Linked DNA regions of Mytilus edulis. The protein of the gene in region 1 binds, or shares a complex with, the protein of each later gene. Links are inferred from orthologs where the notes say so. Each region holds a gene or a part of one and is shown in the gene's direction. Other genes may lie near its edges.

Region 1 (11,125 bases):
ATGAAAATATATAATTTGATAAATAAATAGAACATAAAAACTGCCATCCACAATCTTTGAAAAATTGTTATGTAAAAATAAATCAACCAACAGAATTCTGTTGAATAAGGTCAATTTTATAGCCTTTCAAATATGTGAAAAAAAGCTCATAAATAGATTGAACTTAAATTTTATACTGTAAAGAAAACATTTCTGTTTATAAATGTCAATGCAATAGTGAAAACAAATCTTTCTGAAGTTCTAACTTAAGTGAAAAAAAATCAACAAAACTTGAAATAAGGTTTGGCGTAATTTTTTTTTTTTAACATTAATATAAAGATGAGATTTTAAAGGTACAGGAGAACTGAAAATAATCATAAAAACATAGGATATTATTTTAAGCAGATAACTTTGATACGGTTATGAGTCATGCATTTATTCACCAATATTTTGAATCAAATGTCATAATTATTTAAAATAGAACTGAACCTTCAGTCTGAATGCTTGTAAAAAAACCAAAGATAACTTACTAGTGGTTTTGGTGCAACATTTGTTTTATCGATAATACTTCCTAATTCTGAATATTTCTTTGTTTCACTAGTTCCTGTAGAGAAAAAAATAGAGAACATTTATTTATGTCTTCATTTTATCAAATTAATCAAATGTTAAGAAAAGTAAGCTTATACTTCTTAAACAAGTCAAAAAGCATAGATGTAAAGTGTCAGTTGGAAATTCTAACATTTTACTCTGTGAAAAAGGGGAATATTTTGCATTATACACTTGTGGTTAAACCATTTATTTATAAATACATGTACAATTTGAATAGGAAATTATGTTTTATGTTTTTTTTGCAAAATCCTGATTTTTTTTGTAATTACTTAATAAAATTATGCTAAATACCTCCATATGTAAGAGGAATGCAAGACTGAGCATTTGCCATTTTCTTATCCAGATCATAATCCACAATTCTCCATTCTCCAGTCAATGGTATTCCACTAAGAGGGTCAATTTTAGATGTACGAGTAAATGCATCAATATTTGGTGCTGAATATGTATGTTTTTCGTCATTTGCTTTGATAGTTATAGGTCTGTATAAAGAACTCAGCGATATTGGACATTCATATTGCTGTGCTAAATTATCATCTGTTATCTTGACATATCTGGGTAGTGGCTTCCTTATAATATCTAAACTGTAAGTCTGAGTGTATATAGTAAAATATAGTATGAAACTAAACAATATATACGTAGAAATATTGAATTGAATCTGAATTTTCAAATTGAGTATACTAGTACAAATATTTTATATTACAGACAACAGCCATTGACATCAGGCAAAAACCTAGTTGAAATAGAACAAAAGAATCGAAGCTCTTTGTTAGAGAAGGCGATAAATGCTTACTGTAATGTTTACTATAGTAACACAAATTTTAAAAGTTTATAGAAACAAATAAAATGACAATTTTCTTCTCAATTACGAAGTGTTTCATATTTATAACACCATTTGCATAAGTTTTCAATTTATCTTTTACATAGTTAAGCAGAACAATTAGATATCAAGTCGACGACATGAGTATCTATCAAGTTGGATGTAGAAAATGCATAACCTCCGAATTTTTTTTTTTTAAATTACCACAGACGGAGAACATATCAATCTATTAGTTCAGTAATTTTCGTGTCTGCCCTTTCGTTATGTGACTCAAGAAAAAATTCCAAAAAATGGGTAACAATTGTGTAGAAAAGAGAAAATCTAGTGCATCTTTTTATGTTAGGGTGTGTTTGAGTTGAATATTTTGTCTTGAAAACATACAAAGCAAGAATATTTTATATATCATCTCGCTTCAGTTTTCTATCATTTTTATATATCAAAGCTACAGGTTGACTTTATAACATAAAAAAATCACAGTATTGAAAGATAAAATATATGGGACAAGTGAAATACCTATCTAATGAATCACAAAAACAGAGTAAGTGTGTTCGAATAGCTAATTTTTGTTACTAAAAGTACTTGACGACAGTCTTTTAAGTTGGATGATGAAAATGCATATCTTCGAGAAAAAAAAAAGATTTTTTTGTGTGTGATAACTAGAGTTTATATTTTCCAACAAGTGAAATTTTTTAGTCTGCCCTTCCAAGAAATATTTAATTAGAATTTTTTTGAAATGTTTATGAATTTTAGAAAATTCCACCTGACAATCGATCAGACAATAGATTTGAGTTGAATCAATGCAGACAAAATCATTAACTGATGCTTATTAGCTAGTAGATACATTTGTCTTTAAAATACAACTGACATATAAGGATCTTAATGGTGCTATGTGGATAAATTTATCGGTTTTCAAGGGCAAAATTGGCAGCACGTCATCCCTACAATGGCTTCCATTTCTACGATAGTGAAAATGAACTGGCTTAATGGGGAGATAATTTGACGAAGTAGAATCCTGACTGACATAAATCATGTACTGTCAGTCTTTCTAAACATTTGTAAATGCAAGGTAAAACAAGCACAAAAACATCATGCTTGATATTAATCCTATCATTTTTTGTTTTCTAAAAATGGCCTAAGCACAAAGAATAATGTAGCAAATGATAACATTAACAATTTCAAGTACAAAATGTACATGAATTTAAACATAACAAAATGATCCAGTAATTTTAACATTAGGTTTAAAGTGTTTTTTTCTTCTTTAAACATATCTCTTGAAAGTTTTTACTTGTTAACAATGAAATAATTGTCAATGGTTTTTGGTAGAATTTTAGTATACCTGTTTGTTAGATCCATCAGCTGATGTAACTTCTATCTGGAGATTTGTCTCCCCTACATTAAGAGGTGTAGATGTCCCTGGTTTTTCTTTACATACAAGAACTGCATTTTTGGGATCAGGTGCAATTGGTGTTACTGTCACCTTGTCTGAATTGCAGGGTAATAAACCTAAAGTATTCAACAAATAAAGAAGTAACTAATTATTTTTTTTAAAATGCAGCTTCTATTGTGACTCCAGTAAGCGTCAAACAACTTTCAGAAAAATAACAGATGACTCATATGGTTTATCTCCAGTTTTAAGTGAAGAAACTGAAGCATTATCAAGGCTATTTCTCAACTAATTCAATATATACATTAGGTGAAATTACAATACTAAAATTTATGGTATACACGTACATGTAGGCAAATAAAGTTTATCTTGAGATTGACTTGTTGGCTGCCAAAAAGAATCCATGTGCCATTTACTTACATGATAAAAATATAACTAAGAGTCTTTCCTTTTAATTTTTTCATGAATTCCCTTACATACTTGTTTATTTAATTTTTTTATATATATTTTTTTTTTAAAAACAACGATTATGAACATGATGAAGGTACAATCAAAATAAGATGTCAAATTGACCATAAATCTAATCTTAAAAAATATACTGGATATTATCTAATCTTGAAAAAATATACTGGATAGTTATCAATTTTTTGGTGTAGCAATTACATAATTTTCAAATTTTCTGGGATATAATAAAGGCAGATTTGAATACTTTACTTACAAGAATATTCAAATACATTGTCAGAAAATTCTGGTGATAAGTCTCCATCTGATAACTTTAGATCACTCAATGTAGCATCTTTTGCAGATAATCTTTTGGCATGTATAAAATAATTCTTTATGGTACAATCTTCAGAAGTGACTTCTATCTTAATATCAGTGATTTGACCTTCTTTAAGAGGAACATCCTTGCCACCATCACTTCCCTGTCAACAAATCAATAACAAAAATAACAGTTAACGCTGTACAATTTAGATATCAAAATATTATTTTAATTGCAAGACAGAACCAGATGATCCACAGGGTGCAGCTTTATACGACCGCAGAGGTAGAACCATGAACAGTTGGGGCAAGTATGGACACAACATTCAAGCTTGATACAGCTCTGAATTTGGATTGTGATTAAATAGTTGACACAGCAAATTTAAAGGTTTCTGACACAGAATGAATGTGGTCTGATGAACTTGAAAAAAAATCTTTTGCTTTTGAGCAATACACTATATATATAGATGCTGTTGAATATAAATCCCCTAAAAAAAAAATTGCGGTCGTATAAAAAACCAAAATGACAGAATAAAAGTAAAATTTTGGTTCTGTCGTTAAGGAGTTTAGTTGTGATGTTATGACGTCATATTCAATGTAAACAAAGAAATGCTATCATCAGGTAACATTTTTTCATATCAAAGAATTACTAAAAATGAAATTGATATGTACAGTGTTCCTTCTTATATTTTACTAGACTAATAAAGATATATTTTACTCAAAAAAGAAGTAGATTTCTGCACAGATGTGGGATAATAATAAAGTTAATGATTTTGAGTTCATTAGGGCCAAGTTCACTTGAAACAATTCAAACTGTCAAGTTTACTCGGGTTTCAACAATACGATTTTACTTGAACCACTCGAGTTAACCCCTCGTACTCTGGTTCCAACTCTCACCAAGCCAAGGTTAAACTCGAGAAACTCTTGAATGACGTCAAACCAATGAGAATATTTATTTTCTATGCTTTGTCAGGGCCTCTACCCTAGAGTTACTTAGAGTTGTTCTGAATATCAACTCGAGTGCATTCATGTGATAATCTATTAACTCTGAAGTCTATTGTAAAGTTTTAAGTAAACTTGGCCAAGTAGAATGAAAAATTAGGGAATTTTCCCAATTTTTATTATTTTAGTGGATTTTTCTACCGTAATAGTAGTCCAAATAGAATCATATTCAAAACAGTGTAGCTGTGGCCATTGATTAACGACCTTAAATTCTCCCATTGACTGGGGCAGATTATGTGAACGTTTGACTGTAACAACCGCTGCTCACTATGTACTTGTTAAAGACACTTAAACTGTGGGGCCACAAAAGGTTCTCAACACCTAAATAAAGTAATTAGAAAAACTAATCAGGAATAACACGATGTTTTGATTTATATCATTAATAAGAATTAAAACATAAAGTTATTCCTGGTTAATTTTTCGAATTATTATAATATTAAAGGCGTTAAGAACCTTTGGTGACCCCACAGTTTAAATTCTATAATAAGTAAGTGGTGAGCAGTTGTCGTTACAGACACACGTTCACCTAATCTGTCCCAGTCAATGGAATAATTTAAGGTCGTCAATCAATGGCCACAGCTACACTGTTTTGAATATGATTCTAATAATGACGTCTTGGAAGGCTATTTTAAATTTTTGCTTTGACACCTTCATGCGTCGATGTAAGGGGGTCAAAGAAAAAAATATAATAGCCTTTCAAGATGTCATAATTATTTGGACAACCGTAATAGGGGACTTTGTCCCATTATAAAGAATTTAATAAACTTAAAAGCAAAATTTTGGGGTAAGGTTAAATCTTTTCCCTATTTAGTTCAGGCAGCATGTCAACTATGTTGCTGTCATGTAAAATTGGCACCATCATGTTAAAATCTTAGTACCATTGCAAACTCTATCCTACAATTAGTCAACTCATACTACTAAAAGTCAACTAACACCAATGTTAACTAGAAATGCTGAGAGCTTGTACTATCGCGAGCTTGTAACATTAAAAATACAATGACAATTTACAAAGTATACAAATGTTTTAAAAATAATGTTTGCAATTTTATTTGTTATAATCTGTAAGTTGGAGTTTTCCCGGACTGGGTGAGAGTTTGAAATGGCAAGAGTTTGCAGACAGTGATACAAATTTGATTTAAGTGGTGTGAATTGACATTGGTACAAGTTTGCAATGTTATTTAATAATTATAATTCGTCATTTCAGACATCACTGGCATGCAGTTGCATCTGGCATGTCTGGTTATATCATACATACAGAGCCTGCAGAGGGCCAAACTTTTTTTTATAATTTCTTACAGAAATGCAATATGATGCACCCGTATCACTGGTGAGAGGGTCAACGTGAATTTTTTCCACATTGCTCGCTAGGGTCACATTATATTCTGTTGTGTCTTTATGAAACGCAGGTGACAATTTTCCGGGCTTTATGACTAGTTTATCCAAGTTGCAGTCGTCCATCTTGAAACCTAGGACGCTAATTTAGAGATTAACTTTATGAACATAATGAATTTTGATATACAAAGCCTAAAGAGTATGAAAAAATATGTTAATTTTCAATCTTCTTGGTATTATGTACTTTAAATTAAAATTTTGATTCAAATAATTTTGTTTGAGGCTAAACTCCTAGTCACAGGAAGTGAAAAAAAAATCGCGGGAAAGACAATTTTGTCAACAAAACATTTCAACACTTAAAAATGCCTTTCATTTCAGAAGAAGAATTAGAAGATGAATTTAGTGTATTCGGTGTAGAATTCAGTAGTCCTCAAATTGTTGAAAAATGTAAATGTTTTAAATGATAGAAACTACGTATTGCCAGTTTTAAGCCACTTCCACTAACATTTGGCTATCAAAAAAATTTAGACACTTCGGTACCCAAAAATTAGGCATCGAAAAAAGTTAAGAGACACGAGAAAAACAGTTCGGAATTAAGTCAAATAGGCACACCATTAAGATTTTTAAATTTAACTATGTAAATAAATTGGAATGTGTAAAGCCCTGTTTACATGTTCGCCCTGTCCTTGGTCTGTTCGTCCTGAGTTCTTTCGCCCGTATAGTACGTGTTCATTCTCTTTACTTTTATCAAGGACGTTTTATAATACGTCTTTGCATTTATTCTCAGATCCGGACATCCTGGCATTTACATTTGTCAGGAGGTGATGAAATCCGGAATCCTCTAGATTTTTCATCTATTTGAAGGGGATAACTGATCATTTAAATTGCCGATTATTTTTTAACCAGAGGTTATAGTATGTTAAAAATCAAAATGGAGATAGTATATAGTGTCTTTAACAGTATTAAAAGAGTAAAATTACTATATTCAACTGGTTATGATATATATCAATTAAATTAATTTGCAATAAGTCTATGGAAAATCTAGAGGAATCTTATCCGCATCACCTATCAACATTGTTTACATAACAAAAATGCTAATCATTGATTGGTCAGTTACATGTTGTGATGTCACTGCAGATCTGAGAATTAAAAATTATTGATATTAAGGGGAGGCCTATCATTAAAAAACTCTAAAACACGATTTAGTGAAAATCATCTGTTCCTTATTTAGTTTCCAAGGTAAAGCAATCGTGTTCAGCCACTCAAATTCTGTATTTCGCATGATCAATTAATAAGCCAATCAAAAACGTTGTCTCTGAAGATTATTCTAACATGCTAGATTTTGAACTTGTGTTGTTATCATCTAGTTATTAAATCGTGAATATGGCATGTGAATTTTCATCTGCAAGCAGGTTCTTACACAGCTTCAGAATAAAAGCATGGCTGAGTGACAAAATTCAATGATGCAGTACTACATAAAGATAATACACAGTATTTTTATGCCCCACCTACGATAGTAGAGGGGCATTATGTTTTCTGGTCTGTGCCTCTGTGCGTCCGTCCGTTTGCTTCAGGTTAAAGTTTTTGGTCAAGGTAGTTTTTGAAGAAGTTGAAGTTCAATCAACTTGAAACTTAGTACACATCTTCCCCATGATATGATCTTTCTAATTTTAATGCCAAATTATAGTTTTGACCCCAATTTCATGGTCCACTGAACATAGAAAATGATAGTGCGAAGTTCAGGTTAAAGTTTTTGGTCAAGGTAGTTTTTGAAGAAGTTGAAATCCAATCAACTTGAAACTTAGTACACATCTTCCCCATGATATGATCTTTCTAATCTTAATGCCAAATTATAGTTTTGACCCCAATTTCATGGTCCACTGAACATAGAAAATGATAGTGCGAAGTTCAGGTTAAAGTTTTTGGTCAAGGTAGTTTTTGATGAAGTTAAAGTTACATCAACTTGAAACTTAGTACACATGTTCCCTATGATATGATCTTTCTAATTATAATTCCAAATTGTTATTTTGACCCCAATTTCACGGTCCACTGAACATAGAAAATGATAATGCGAGTGGGGCATCCGTGTACTATGGACACATTCTTGTTTTTCACTAATTTATCATGTTTATTGACATAATACTTGTTGTAACATATTTTTATTTTTGTATTCAATTAAATCATTTAAAGGACAACATACTATTCTTTTTTCACAAAGACCAACAGACAGGTTGGGACTTCCCCCCCCCTCCCCCCATATTATGAGTGGTGTCCCTTAAATGAGGGACCTAAAACAAGGGGTCATTTCACTGTTGAAAAAAAAGAAAGAAAATTTTTAACTCAAAAGTGGGAAAATTCATTATATTTGGAACAATTTTCTAAATGAGGGGTCAAACTAATAAAGAAGATATAAGTTTAGAAACATCACAAAATTCTTTTGACATGAATACTTGATAGATGCATAGTTCTTCATCAAATAATATGAATATAAAGGTGCTAATTTTTTACAGTGGGTTGTATTGTTCTTCCAATGAGGGTTACCCCTCATTTGGAGTGTTGTTCCCAATCTGTCAAAGGTCCATCTTTGTGCATAATTCAAAATTGGAAATTTCAACAAGCATCTAATATTCATGCACAAGAAAATAAACCCTGGTCTGCTAAATACATGTTCATCTTTTCTACCGATTTAATAACTAGAATCCTGCAAACAGGGCATGGGCATTATGTTTTCTGGTCTGTCCATCTGTCCTGCTTCAGGTTAAAATTTATGGTCGAGGTAGTTTTTGATGAAGTCCAAATCCAATCAACTTGAAACTTAGTACACATGTGTTTCTTATCATATGATCTATCTAATTTTACTGCCAAATTAAAGACTTACATGTACCTAATTTTCACAGTCCACTGAACATAGAAAATGATTGTACGGATGTGAAATCCATGTACTTATGACACATTCTTGTTTGAAGAAAAAAAATTATGTCATAACGATAATGGAACAAAGCAGGCTGGATTAGTGGGGCTGCTTTTATGGTAATTCAAGTTTCCTTTTATTCACCTTCTTCCACCTCAGAGCTATCAGTTCTTTGATTCTTCTTTTACATGTGCCATTCTGATTTATTATAATTCAAACTTTCGGTTTAAACATACACTAAGTTTCTTACTTTTTTGTGTGTGATTTAGACTTATTTTCACAACTGTGATGTGTACTTAAATCATTTACAAGTTATTTACAAGCAGTTACAGCTTGTTTGATGATGGAAAACAGGTTTTATGGAAAACAGGTTTTTCCAACAAAATACATCAAACAACCACACATGTTTTGAAAGTACTGGAATTACAAACATTTTTTTACCTGACATAAAGTCCCTTAATTCTGATAATGAATAAATTTCCACAGATATCAGAATAGACAACTTTCGAGTTCCATGCATTTCCGTCAAAAACTCTGGTTTTAGTGAACATCATTCATGCATTTAGGGGCATCCTCACTTCAATTTCTATGTTGAGCGAGTGGTTGGAAAATAACATGTACAAAAAATGTATAATACTATATTGCATGTTTTATTCGGCAAACTTAATTCTCATTTCATGATTTGACAATCAGTTCTGCTGTCATTAGGGAATTGTGATTAAGTACTTACAAAACAAACATTATTTCTAGTTTATCCTGCAGAATGATGATCACTATGACGCTTGATGAATGTTGGTAGTGCAGGGATACAGGCCACCCCTCTATCTGGTAAATTAGGTCACAAAGGCGTGTCTAATTGACAAGTTTTTTTCCGGTGACAGATGAACTCAAAAGTGGTCTATTGTCACAAGTTGAAATGAGCTTTCAAAAGGTTTATCAAGATTTCATTGTATGCATAAAAAAAGCATGCCACTAGCAATAAACAAAATATAAATCAAAATTAAATTAAGTATTTTTAACTTTCCCAGTTTTCCCCCTGATATTGCTATTTATAGGGATGCTTTTAAATTAAAAAAAACATGTTCAAGTTTATATATTCACGAAGATTTATATTTGCGATAGTTTTTGACTTGCGAAAGTACTGAAAATAAATCACTTGCAATAATTAGTAAGTTTACAGTATTCAAAAGTACAATGTACTTTGTTAATTATTTAACATACAACTGTTCGTTATTTATATATGTTTTGAATTGAATTGATGTCTTATTTCAGTACAAGAATTGTGTGTACAGTACAATTTGGGTGCAGAAAAGATAGTTACAGAATGGGTAGCATTTGCCAGCACACACAAAGGTGTACAAATGACATTAGATTCTCTAGACCAATTAGACAGAGAAGTGAGTCATTTTATACATAGAAATTGTAAATTGTAAAAAGAACATCACAAATGTTGACTTTGCTTAAAAATAAGATAGTTCATGCATTGTATATATATATGATAAGGATATCCAATAATCTGTTCTAGATTTACTAGTCCACTACCAATAAAGTCGAAGTGGACTTAAGGTTTGCATTTTGTCTGTCTGTCCATCAGTCAGTCCGGCAAATCATTTTTTCAGACTTTTTTTCTTCATGCTTGAAGATATTGATATGATATTTGGTGTATTGAGTTATCATGACAAGTTACAGGTCAAGTTCGATTTTCAGGATTTTAGCTTTTCTCCTTGTTCAGTTAGTCTTTTCCCTAGAATAAATTTTTTGATGAAATATTTATTAATTACTAGATTTCTGTTTAAAGGGAAATAACTCATTTTATAACTTTTCCTAGAATTAAATTTTTAATGAAATACTTTTAAATTATTAGATTTCTGTTCAAAGGGAAATAACTCAAAATTTTGGAAAGACATTGTTTTAAGATAATGAAATATTGGATTTTTTCCTTTTCTTTAGTAAATTGTGTGAAGAATTTGGTGCTACATGTAGGTTAGTTTGTTATTTTATGTAGTTTACACCACGACAAGTTATAGATCAAGTTAGAATTTCGTTCCATTACAATGAATTTTAACTGGAAGTGGACTATGTATTGCCAAGCAATAGGTCCGAGTACACAGTTATTTTCGATTTTCGTTGTCCACGAATATAGTCCCTACTGTGGACAGTGTGTTACTTGTCAATTTTTTTTATACCCCTTCCAAATTTATTTATTTATGTTTTATGCCTCAAGTAGCAAGAAGGGGGATAAAATTACACTGTAAAGAAATTTTATTCATGAATTATAATGTAAAGTAGTGATTTGGTCCAGTTGAAAAAGGTCAATAATTAACATTTTGGA
Region 2 (11,197 bases), on another chromosome or scaffold:
GATTGCCGCAAGGTTGCTGCAACCTTACCGCAAGGTTGAAGCAATGTTTCTCTTTTCATATATATGAAGGTATTTTGTTATTTTTAAAAATTTTGATTCAATTGTATGTTTGTGAGTTTAGTGCAGTGGCAGATCCAGAAATTATCATAAGTGGGGGCCCACTGACTGACCTAACAGAGCAACCAAATTTTTTTAATTGTGGCGATTAAAATTCGTCATTGGCGAAAGAATTTGGCGAAAGAAATATATAACGATTTATTTTCAGCCATCTTGTTTATTTACTTTTTTTCGGGTTTCTCGGACTTTATCCGATCAGACAATTATACTCTGAATTCACTTTGAACTCGTTAAGATTTTAACAGAAAATCAATAATCAGCTGATTGCATTTATAGCTATCGACATCAAAGGACTAATTAATAAAGGTGTTGATTGTATTGTATTATATGACAAAATGATATGGATAAATGGCGTCCGTCACATGTCTCAAAAGGGGTTTATTAACCACTTGGCGATGCACGTGTTTGAATCAAAATTTTGACGATTTCTCTCGATCCTTCTTTTCTCCTTCTTTTAATGATAACCCGGGCGCCCAGCCAGAAAAGAAAACTGTTGTTATGACGAAAAATGTTGAAAAGCAAGAAAGGTCTCTGATTTAAAACTTTATCATTTAACTTTGATATAGATAATTGATTAGAATAGGTACTTTAAAGTCGTTTCATTGACACACGTGTTTCAAGCATTATCATAGTTTTACTTATTTACGATGGTCTAGGATAGAAAAAAGAAAACTGTTCTTATGAAGAAATCTATTCAAAAGGTTGGCATCTAAAAAAAAGACAAGTTTTAAAAGAAAAATATAAATTTGTGTTACTTGGCGAAAAAATAATAAAGTCGCGAAAAAATATATTGTTTTGGCGAAAGAGGTGGCGAAAAAAATAATTGACCCAGGGGAAACCCTGCATTACAGTAATACTTGTTTAGCATGTTCAAGTCATGCTGAAGACTGACTATGGGTGTTGCATTTTCTCTACAAAGAACAAGGAAGAAGACCCGACCCGTTCAAGCATGACTGGTGACCTTGGGCTGTTTTCTACTCTTTGAATGGTTGTTGTCTCTTGACACATTCCCTCTTTCCTTTATCTATTCTATTATTTCATGGCTCTTTGAATATAAATATAAGGAGATATAATATGATAACCAATAAAGACAAAAAAAGTAAAATCACAAAATTCTGAACTTAGAGGAAAATCAACTTTCTAATCATGCTAATACAGACCAAAGGTCACTAAATGGCCTTCAACAATATGCAAAAAAAATTCTCACTTTTGGACAATCAGCTATTATACTGAAAAGTTGTTAATCAAATAAATGAAAACTTATTGATAGGAAGTTCATTATTGAAAAATAATTGATATCTTATTTATCTACTGTCACTCCTTTCTCTGTGACATTTATATATCATTGTATAACCATTTATTGTTAGTGTTACTTGGTGCTAATAACATGTGAATTTGATCTGTACTTGTTTGTCGGTTGTATTAACAGTCATGCATGACAGTTGTGATACACCTTATCGCTATTTGTCCGCCATTACTGGATATCACACAGGTTCCCGTAAAATTTTGACGATATAAAACAAAATATCTGACGCCACAATGGAAAAGTGATTGTTGTATGCGTCAAAAGTTCAAGCGAAGGCAAATAGCGATAAGGTGTATTGTAACTACCAAACTGCAGTTTAAAAAATTCAAAATTAATGGGTTTGAAAATACAGTAATCATTATTTTACATTAATCTCATTTTAAAACTGAGGAAATTGAAAGTAAAGAATTATTACATGATCAAAGCTGTCAGGGCCTATAACATACATGAACTGCAGTTGCCCCTCCCTCCCCCTGAAAAAAGGGTGAAGCTTTCCATACATATGTTTGCTTAGAATCATCATGTATGACAGATGGAAATTTCATAACATAAGGTATATGCATACAAGGTATGACTTTTGCGTTTGAAAAGGTTTATACTTGGTTTTCAAAGTTTAAAGTGTCTGTTGAAGTATTAATTATCACCTATTTGAACTAATAATTGTTTAATCAGCAATTCTACAGTGATAAATTTACCATTTGAAAACAATTGAGAGGATATGATTAGAAAAACAAACCCCAAGCTGATCAATACGACTTGAGAAATTCCCTTTCTTGATATCCAGCTTAGATGAAGCCATTTGAATATTATAAAACATTAAGGTCAGAAAAATGAGAAATCATTATGCTAAAAAATGTTAATTTCTTTCAAACGTCGTAAGGTTAACAATACACTGCTACAGTGGGTTACAAAACCAAACACAGAAGCTGACAAATACTTTATTGTTGGTCCTACATGTTCTGCAACATCATCAGGCAGTCTGGTATAGACCCATCATGGAAAAAGACTTCTCCTTGGGTTTTACACACAGATAATATGAGATTATATGAATTTACAATGGAGAAAAAGACTCTTCTTCTATATCCAGACAACAACATTAACAAACAAAGGGGTAACTTCCACGAGCATGATGAGGACATTATTACAAGAGAAAACATCAATAGCATACATGTAATATAAGAAAAACACATAACAAATTAATTACAAACAAACCGTGCACCGCGACAAAGTTACTGAGAATCGTCGAAAATTACCTGCTTACCACAGCGCTATCAAAAAAATCCTGGGGAGAACACTGAATCACATTAAAATTTTAACCAATTTGATGCTTACGGTAGCCGAAAATTATCGTTTTACGACTGACGGTAAAGGGAATTACCACCTCTGAGCTCTCATGAATCGTCAGAGGTCTAATTTAAGAAATTATCAACACCGTAATTTCTGGAAAAAAACATTAATGTGATTCATTATTAAAATTCAGTTGATTTTATATCAAAGAAAGCGTACATTTCAACATAAAATTGAGAATGGAAATGGGGAATGTGTCAAAGAGACAACAACCTGACAATAGAACAGACAACAGCAGAAGGTCACCAACAGGTCATTAATGCAGCGAGAAATTCCTACACATGGATGAAACAAAAAATACTGTACACATCATTTGTCAATTTTTTTTACCGTTATTCTTCAATTAAGGTAGCACAATACAAAGATTTTTTCACTCCCAATCAGACAACTTTAAACTGATGTAATTCATTTTGAACATCCTTCTTTACATTTTATAAATGAGATACCAAAAGAAAGACATGAAAGAAGAAAGATTAATCTTTCAAATTGTGATAATTTCATTATGACATAATTATTACATAATTAATTATTATGTAATTAGTTGCTATATTGTGATGTTCACACTTGAACGAATTTAGCGTCTTTGTTCTTCATAGCATCCCAAAATATTTTACAGATTCTTGTACAGTTTTGGAGGTCAAACTGTGTTGTGCAAGAATCTATAAAGTATTTTGGGATGCTAGGAATAACAAAGAAGCTAAATTCATTCAAGTATGGACATCACAATACCGCAACTAATTACATAACAATTAATTATGTAATAATTATGTCATAATGAAATTATCACAATTTGAAAGATTAATCCTTCTTCTTTCTTTTGGTACCTCATTTATAAAATTTAAAGAAAGATGAGTGGAATTACATCAGTTTAAAGATGTCTGAGTGGGATGAAAAATCTTTGTATTGCGCTACCTTAAGACCGAATCCGGGTCCGTTCGCCCTGATTCACGTTCGCCATACTACGTGTTCGCCCTGATACCTGTTCGCCCAGGGTCCATTCGCCCAGATTTATATTTTTTTCTGTTTGTTGTCCAGTCGCATAATTTTAAGTATTTGAACAAAATATGTTAAAGTTTGTTTACAAATTGACAGAATATTTATATTGCCGCAATCATTTTATAATTTTCTCTTTGATTTACAGAGTAGAATTGGTATGTACAATGTATTTCTCTTTATTGATATTTGTTAACAAAATAATTGTATTCAGTCAATCATGAATGTATGCAGTATAACTGAGACTAGGACTGTCTCTGAGTATAATAATGAACTTGTAAATCCGTTTCATGATTTACAGTTCGTACATCATTGTGTTTATTAATTTCAAGCTGAATATTTTATCAAAACAAAACGTTTGATTTTTATTAATAATCCATCAAAAGACAAGTATCTACTGAAGACATGAAAAACCTCTCCACTTATTTTCGAAAACTCTTGCGACAAATTCAACACCTGCCAGACAGAACTGCAAACGTAGCTTCACATCTTCTTCTTGGACGGATTACCATTGAATCAGAAATACATAAACGAATACTGAAAACCTTTGGAAATATCATAAGAAATGAAAACTCAATTGAAAGAAAATTAGCTATCAGACAGCTAGCAACAAAATCTCTACAATCTGGTAGCTGGTTTACAAAAACTGTTGAAATTGCCAATATATATGACTTACCATCGCCATATGATATTATAGATAACCCACCCGGGAAACAACTTTGGAAAAACCTGGTAAATAAAACCGTCAATGATCACTGTATAAAACAAATGATAAGTGAAGCAAAATCGAAATCTACTCTGTCTCGCCTAAATTATGAAAATGTCAAAGAAGGGAAAATACATAACATATGGAAAAGCTGTGGCACAAATCCATATGCCATCACATCTGCCTCCTTAAAGGCAAAGTTAGCAACAGGGACAATATACCTGCAATATCATCGAGCTAAATTTAGCAATGGACATGTGTCGCCTATTTGCCAGTTATGTGCAGAGGAAGAAGAAGATATACTTCACTTCATATTAAAGTGCTCTAACCTACAATATATAAGAGATGATTTTCTGCATATGATAGGCGAGGTATTGACAGTAAACCTAGAGGATCAGGATCTTATCCAAGAATTAATAACCAATGACGAACATTTGTGTCAGCTAGTTATCGACTGCTCAAAATTTAGATTTTTAAATGAGAATGCACAGAATAGAATAGAAACATTATCGAGAGGTCTGTGTCATAAATTATTCCAGCAACGGGCAATATTAATTGAACAGTGATTAAAAGCGTGTAATACCGAGCTGAAAAGAAGGGTCATACCAAAAGATAGAACATTTTGTTATATATAGTGTATTTACATTTTACCGTTTTTAATATGAAAGAAGCAACTTTTATATTTGAATGATGGATGACTTTTTATGCATACCAGAATAGTGTAAATATTGGTGATAGGGTCACATCCCCCAGAGGAGATAAATTAATATCTCTTTTATAGTTTTAAAGGTTTTATATATCTTTTAAACATAATCTTGAGGATTTTAACCGCGAGTGATATTACACCGATTCTAGGATTGGTGGTTCTCCTGACATAGGAGGGAGTTGCAGTACAGGTAACAGGTAACAGGTATCACAATAATCAGTGATCCGAATTATTTTGTCATTGAACAATTAACGATCCTAAACAAGCCATAAACTTTTAAATATTTCCCTGTTTCCATAAATTTCAAGAATATATATACCATAGAAATATCTGAATAAGATTTTTCAACTTCAATGCCTTGAATATCGATATTTTTTAGTAGGGCGAACGGACTCTCTGGGCGAACGAACTCAGGGCGAACGTACCCAGGGCGAACATGTTATAAGGGCGAACGATCCCGATACCCTTAAGACCCTCATAGGCCTATAGTAACTTGTGAAAAACTTGTGGTCACAGGGAGACAACTCACTTTTAAAAATAATTAATGTCATGATATGGAATAACTGCTTAAAATAAATAAAAGTTTTCATCAAAATCTCAAAGCTGACTATTAAACTAACATTAAATATTAGATGACATCTTCTTATTCGTTGTAGTTTTGTTTTTTTGGCAGTGTTTTCTTACTTTCTTCTTTTGTGGAAATTCTTACGACCAAATTACGGGAGTCGTAAAAGTAGAATTTATACAATATTTAAAATCAGTTATATAGTTTTAAAAGATATTTTTCAATGCTTATCTTTCGAAAATCTAGTATTTCAGTATTTCATGATAAGGTAAAATAAAATTATGAAGTCGTAAATTCTTATTTCCGGTAAATAGATTTTGGCGCTAAATTTTGTAAACAAAAATTTGATACCATGCCAGGAGAAGAAAAAGAGCACGTTTATGATGCAGCTTCATTGCCAGATTTATTGCCCATTTATTACAAAAGACTTTTTCCTTATGGACCATATTTCAAGTGGCTCAACTATGGCGGGGGTATGTTTTTTTTCCAAGGGCACTTCTCTCTGTGTCAATAGGGGTTTCTTCTTATCATATGGTAGGTACGGAAAGTGATTTTTTTAAAATTAACTGATCTAAGAAAACTTTACCTCATTTTAAAGGCATTGTGAAGACATTTTCAAAACAGTTTCACTTTTATCAATACACATAATAACAACGAAGAAATAGCAAATTTTCAAAATGATAATTTTTTACTATTCTGGAAAAACTGTTTCCTCTCTTTAAAAAATAATAAAATATATTTTTTGAATCATTTGGGTTATAATTTTGTTTATATTGCTTCTTTTACATCTTGTTGGTCTATTTCAATCCTCAATATTAAGTTTTTTGGTCAAAATAGATACATAAAGTATGAAAATGTCAACCACTCGCATGAAATTCTATCGTCCAAAGTCACATGATGATACCTTTATATTTTCCTTTTTTCAGAGCATCAGTTGGTATATTGAAAATGTAAAGAAAACTTTATAAACACTTGAATGTAAAGAAACAAAATTTAAATATGAATATTACTCTTTATATACAAATGTATATGTTTGTGTGTGTGTATAAAAAAGAAGATGTGGTATGATTGCCAATGAGACAACTCTCCACAAGAGACCAAATGACACAGAAATTAACAACTATAGGTCACCGTACGGCCTTCAACGATGAGCAAACCTCATACCGCATAGTCAGCTATAAAAGGCCCCGAAATGACAAATGTAAATCAATTTAAACGAGAGAACTAACAGCCTAATATATGTACAAAAAATGAAAGAAAAACAAATATTTAACACATCAACAAACGACAACCACTGAATTACAGGCTCCTGACTTTGGACAGGCACATACATGTACATATAGAATGTGGCGGGGTTAAACATGTTAGCGGGTGCCCAATCTTCCCCCTGACCTGTGACAGTACAACATAAGAACGAACTATAAAAATCAGTTGTACCATGAGAGACCAGAAAGTTTTGAAATATGTCATCTGTCTTTGTATAGTCATAATGGTTTTAGAATGTTCCCTTTTCATTAACATTCTATTTAATGAAATATTCTTATTCTTATATATAGCATGTATAGTGAATGCTAATATAAATAAAAATAAACAACAACCTTCTAACAATTATTTTACAGGACTAAAATACCTGTTGCACTGAAAAACAATGAAAATAATATAACATTATTTTTATTCGAGAAATTTCAAACAAAATAATTATGTCAGATCACTGTAAATACTTGTATGTATACAAGTAAAGTAAATTCATAACTGTATATCAGTTACAATATTTATACAGTGAAATCTGTAAACCAATCTCATTCAGGACTGAAGTTCAAAATGCAATACAGTATTGAATGTGAATAGTATTCCCAGTGAACTGCCGCTACTGCATGGATTCCTATGTATGTTTTTAGTTGAACATGTTGAAAATACATATATTGATTGTTGTTAAACCACATTATTCATTATCCTTACTATCTCGTGTGCAATGGCAAGTGGTTGAACTATCTTTAAATCGCAGTAAACTGGCTGTATAATGCAAAAAAAACTATCTCTGCTGATTTCCAATCAAAACTAAACCAAAAGTTGTCCATGCAAGGGAAATAACTCTGTATACACAAAAAGGAGGGTTATTTATAAAAATTTATTTTGATATGAACACAGCTTTCTAGATTTATTTATTGGACCTAATTATTTAATTAATATATTAAACTTAATAAAAAAGTACATTTTATGACTGTATAACATTCCCTTGTATTTTTTTGAAACGAATGTAACTTTCAAACCCTTGTTTGTACCTCAAATATTTCATCGTATTCCCGAAAATTATAATATACAGAATCATGAATATTCATATAATATCTATCAAAAGCAATCAAAACCTTCTGAGACTTAACAAGTTAATAGAAGGCCGTAATCGGAGGTCACCCAAAGATTTTATTTTTACACACATCTGGGAACAATTATTTAGGGTAATTTGGAGTTATCTCCCATTGGTTTGCCATACCTACATATGGTATCCATGCAGTTACCCATCAGATTTTTGGGATACGATTGCTGTCAAGCAATCTGTAGACTTTTACCATTGACCCTATGATACACTCCCTCACGTCATTCGTTTTATTCTAAACATTCAGCAACATCTCAGATTCTTATGATTGTCTTGCTTTAAAAGGTAAAAACAAGCAAAACAATTGAACATAAACAACTTTCCTGTAATGTTTTACTCATAATCTTCATGTGTGATATTTTCCTTGACTTATATGCATGTTTTTAACAATACGGAAAATCAGAATTAAACAGTATTTATATTTAGTGTTTTTATAAATTTAGAAACACGTCAGAGGGAATTCCCAAATTTTGATAACTTGCGAGAGTTCTCTGAAAGCCGATCGATAATTCTATTTCTGTCACAAGAACTGAAGTGGAGTATTTCTATATTTTACCGTTATGAAACTGATATTTGATACTGTACTCTCATAAAGAAATGGAGAACCATTCATCATATCATTTAATAAACGTTCTTGTTCCAAATTGCAAGTGGCGGTTTGTTTATGTATTTTAAATGCCCATGCGTGGTCTCACTAATTAGAGACAAAAAGAATTGTAGAGACAAAAAGCGTCAAGAAGCGACAAGAAGAATAATATTAGCAACAAGAAACTATTTAGCGACAAGAAAACATTTTTTTATTTATATTTATACTTATTCGAAATAAATATTAAAAAGATATGCAAAAGAAAACAATTTCAACGACAGGAAAATTAATTTTGATAGGGAAAAAAATTAAACTTGTAAATCTAATTCAGTTGCTACATTTATTTACATGATATTTTATATAAGGTATCACAGGAAGTATTACCTTTACCCTGTCGTTTTATGGTATTACTTTTACTTGTGTTTTAGAACAATAATATATTTTGATTTTTATTTGTTTTTAAAACTATTTTTGTACAATATATAATTAACTTGCAAAATGCATTATTTGTGCATAATTGTCCAGAAAATACATATACAAATTGTGAAATACAAATTAAGAACTGAAATCAAATAAGAGGAAAACATAACTAAAACGTGAATATTTTTCATCATTTTATTTAGTGTATTGTCTCATTTAACGATATTTATCATGTTTATGCATATAGATTGAAGATTAAAGGAAACTGATGACAATCTTGAGTTTTCAACAGTCAGGCGTTCACTATTCGGTACAATAATTGTATATTCTGGTGCATGTAATAGATGAAGGTGTTAATGGATGTTATTGTAGCAATTAAACAAAGGACACGCACCTAGTTAATCTCATTTGATGCTCTGAATTGTGTATTACCTTAGAGTGAAGCCACAGCTAATGTTGGTCCTATCAGGACAAATTAATTGTACAGTTAGGAAGGAAATAATATTTCATGTTTTTTTTTTATTAAATCCTTCAAAAGGAAGGTGACAAATCTTTGTTTTTATTTTCATTTTATAGCGTTTACATTTCCTTTGCTCTTACACATGTTTAATTTCTTCATATAAAAAGTGCACAATCTCTTCCTCGAATTTTTTTTATTTCTTCATCTTTCAATATAATCCTAAAAAAATATTTTGATGTATGTGATAACAAAATGTATTCTTGTCGCTAAATAGCTTCTTGTTGCTTTTTGTCACTAATTTTTTTTCTTCTTGTCGCTTCTTGACGATTTTTGTCGCTAATTAGTGAGACCCCACATGCGTGTAGTTTTCCTGATTTCAAGGGGTATCAGATTGAGTGATTCCCCGCTTCATTGATTAATTTGAAACTCATGGGATTCGTTCTATGTCTGTCTGCATATGGAGGGCTATTGTTGTTGCACAATTTTAAATCATATGCATAATTTAAATTAAAATAAATGTTTCATCGTAAAGATTTCCTATAACACCCCTTCAGCAGAAATGGAATCTTCCATATCGTTTCGAGTTGTCTCCCTTTTCGAAGTATTGGTCAAGAAGAAAAACTCATTAATGCCGATAAACGTCGTATTATATTAAGAACGATCTCAATGTAAACAGAGGAGTGTGTACGGAAAGGAGTCATGCCATCTGACCCAAAGGAACTTCAATAACTAAAGAGTAAGAAATGGGGTTCCTCCTAAACTGGTCCGCCGTTCTATATATAGCTTCGCACCGAAGGTCAGTGTAACGATAAGTGAACACAACAGGGGTCCAGTTTAGGGTTCCTCCTAGAATTACGGTGATAAGATACGGATGCAAGTTAACTCGTACCGCGGCATTGGAACCAAAAAAGTTAACTTGTACTACTGAGAAGTCGTACCATTCAGAAAAATATATTAAAAAATATGTTTTATGGGTTTCTGTTTGTAAACTTAATAAAAATAAAGTTGAATTACTTGAATTTTACACAGGAGTTAAATGAAAACTTAGACAAAAATAAAGAATGTGTTAAAGCATTAATGTTTTAACTGATCTTTCAAACTAGAACATAGGCGGATCCAGGCCCCCCCTTTTTTCGTGGAAAAAAATTGGTTGATTATAAAGGGAATCATTGAAGCATGACTGGAGCGAGCCCCCTCTTAGGTCAGTCAGCGGGCTCCCCCTTAGGAAAAGTTCTGGATCCGCCACTGTAGAACTTAATCCAGAGGAAAGTTAAAACGTTGCTTTAACTGTACTTTATTAAAATTGAACATGTTGAATATATATATATCCAATTTAAGTTAATTAAAGCTGTAATCCATGATCACAAATTGAATGCTATGTTTACAATTGTTGAAAGCCATGTGCTTTTTTTGAGGGGAAAATGCGGACCCCCTTAACAGGAATCAGTTACATTTCATTGTTATTTATAGACAGTAAAAATAATTTTGGCAATCATTTTGACTAACTGCTAAGATTTAATTATTCATGAAAAATTTTCTTCGGGTGAAACTGTTAATTCTTTAATTATCTACATCTGCCACAGTATTTTCTATCCAATATACAAGGAACATTAGCTA

Evidence for each region.
Region 2: DNA polymerase alpha subunit B-like (region 1) and DNA primase small subunit-like share a complex: the UniProt entries of both Drosophila melanogaster proteins name them as parts of the alpha DNA polymerase complex. The link is inferred for Mytilus edulis from reciprocal best matches to the Drosophila melanogaster genes PolA2 and Prim1.

The regions. Positions count from the first base shown.
Region 1 is NC_092346.1:69,959,130-69,970,254, forward strand, and holds the start of DNA polymerase alpha subunit B-like, read left to right. Parts: upstream 1-6,182; 5' UTR 6,183-6,244; coding exon 6,245-6,329; intron 6,330-10,065; coding exon 10,066-10,190; intron 10,191-11,125. Other genes in the region: uncharacterized protein, read right to left, coding at 510-583, 880-1,177, 2,742-2,908, 3,508-3,712, 5,847-6,008. UniProt on the Drosophila melanogaster protein: Accessory subunit of the DNA polymerase alpha complex (also known as the alpha DNA polymerase-primase complex) which plays an essential role in the initiation of DNA synthesis.
Region 2 is NC_092357.1:7,813,142-7,824,338, forward strand, and holds the start of DNA primase small subunit-like, read left to right. Parts: upstream 1-6,042; 5' UTR 6,043-6,092; coding exon 6,093-6,213; intron 6,214-11,197. UniProt on the Drosophila melanogaster protein: Catalytic subunit of the DNA primase complex and component of the DNA polymerase alpha complex (also known as the alpha DNA polymerase-primase complex) which play an essential role in the initiation of DNA synthesis.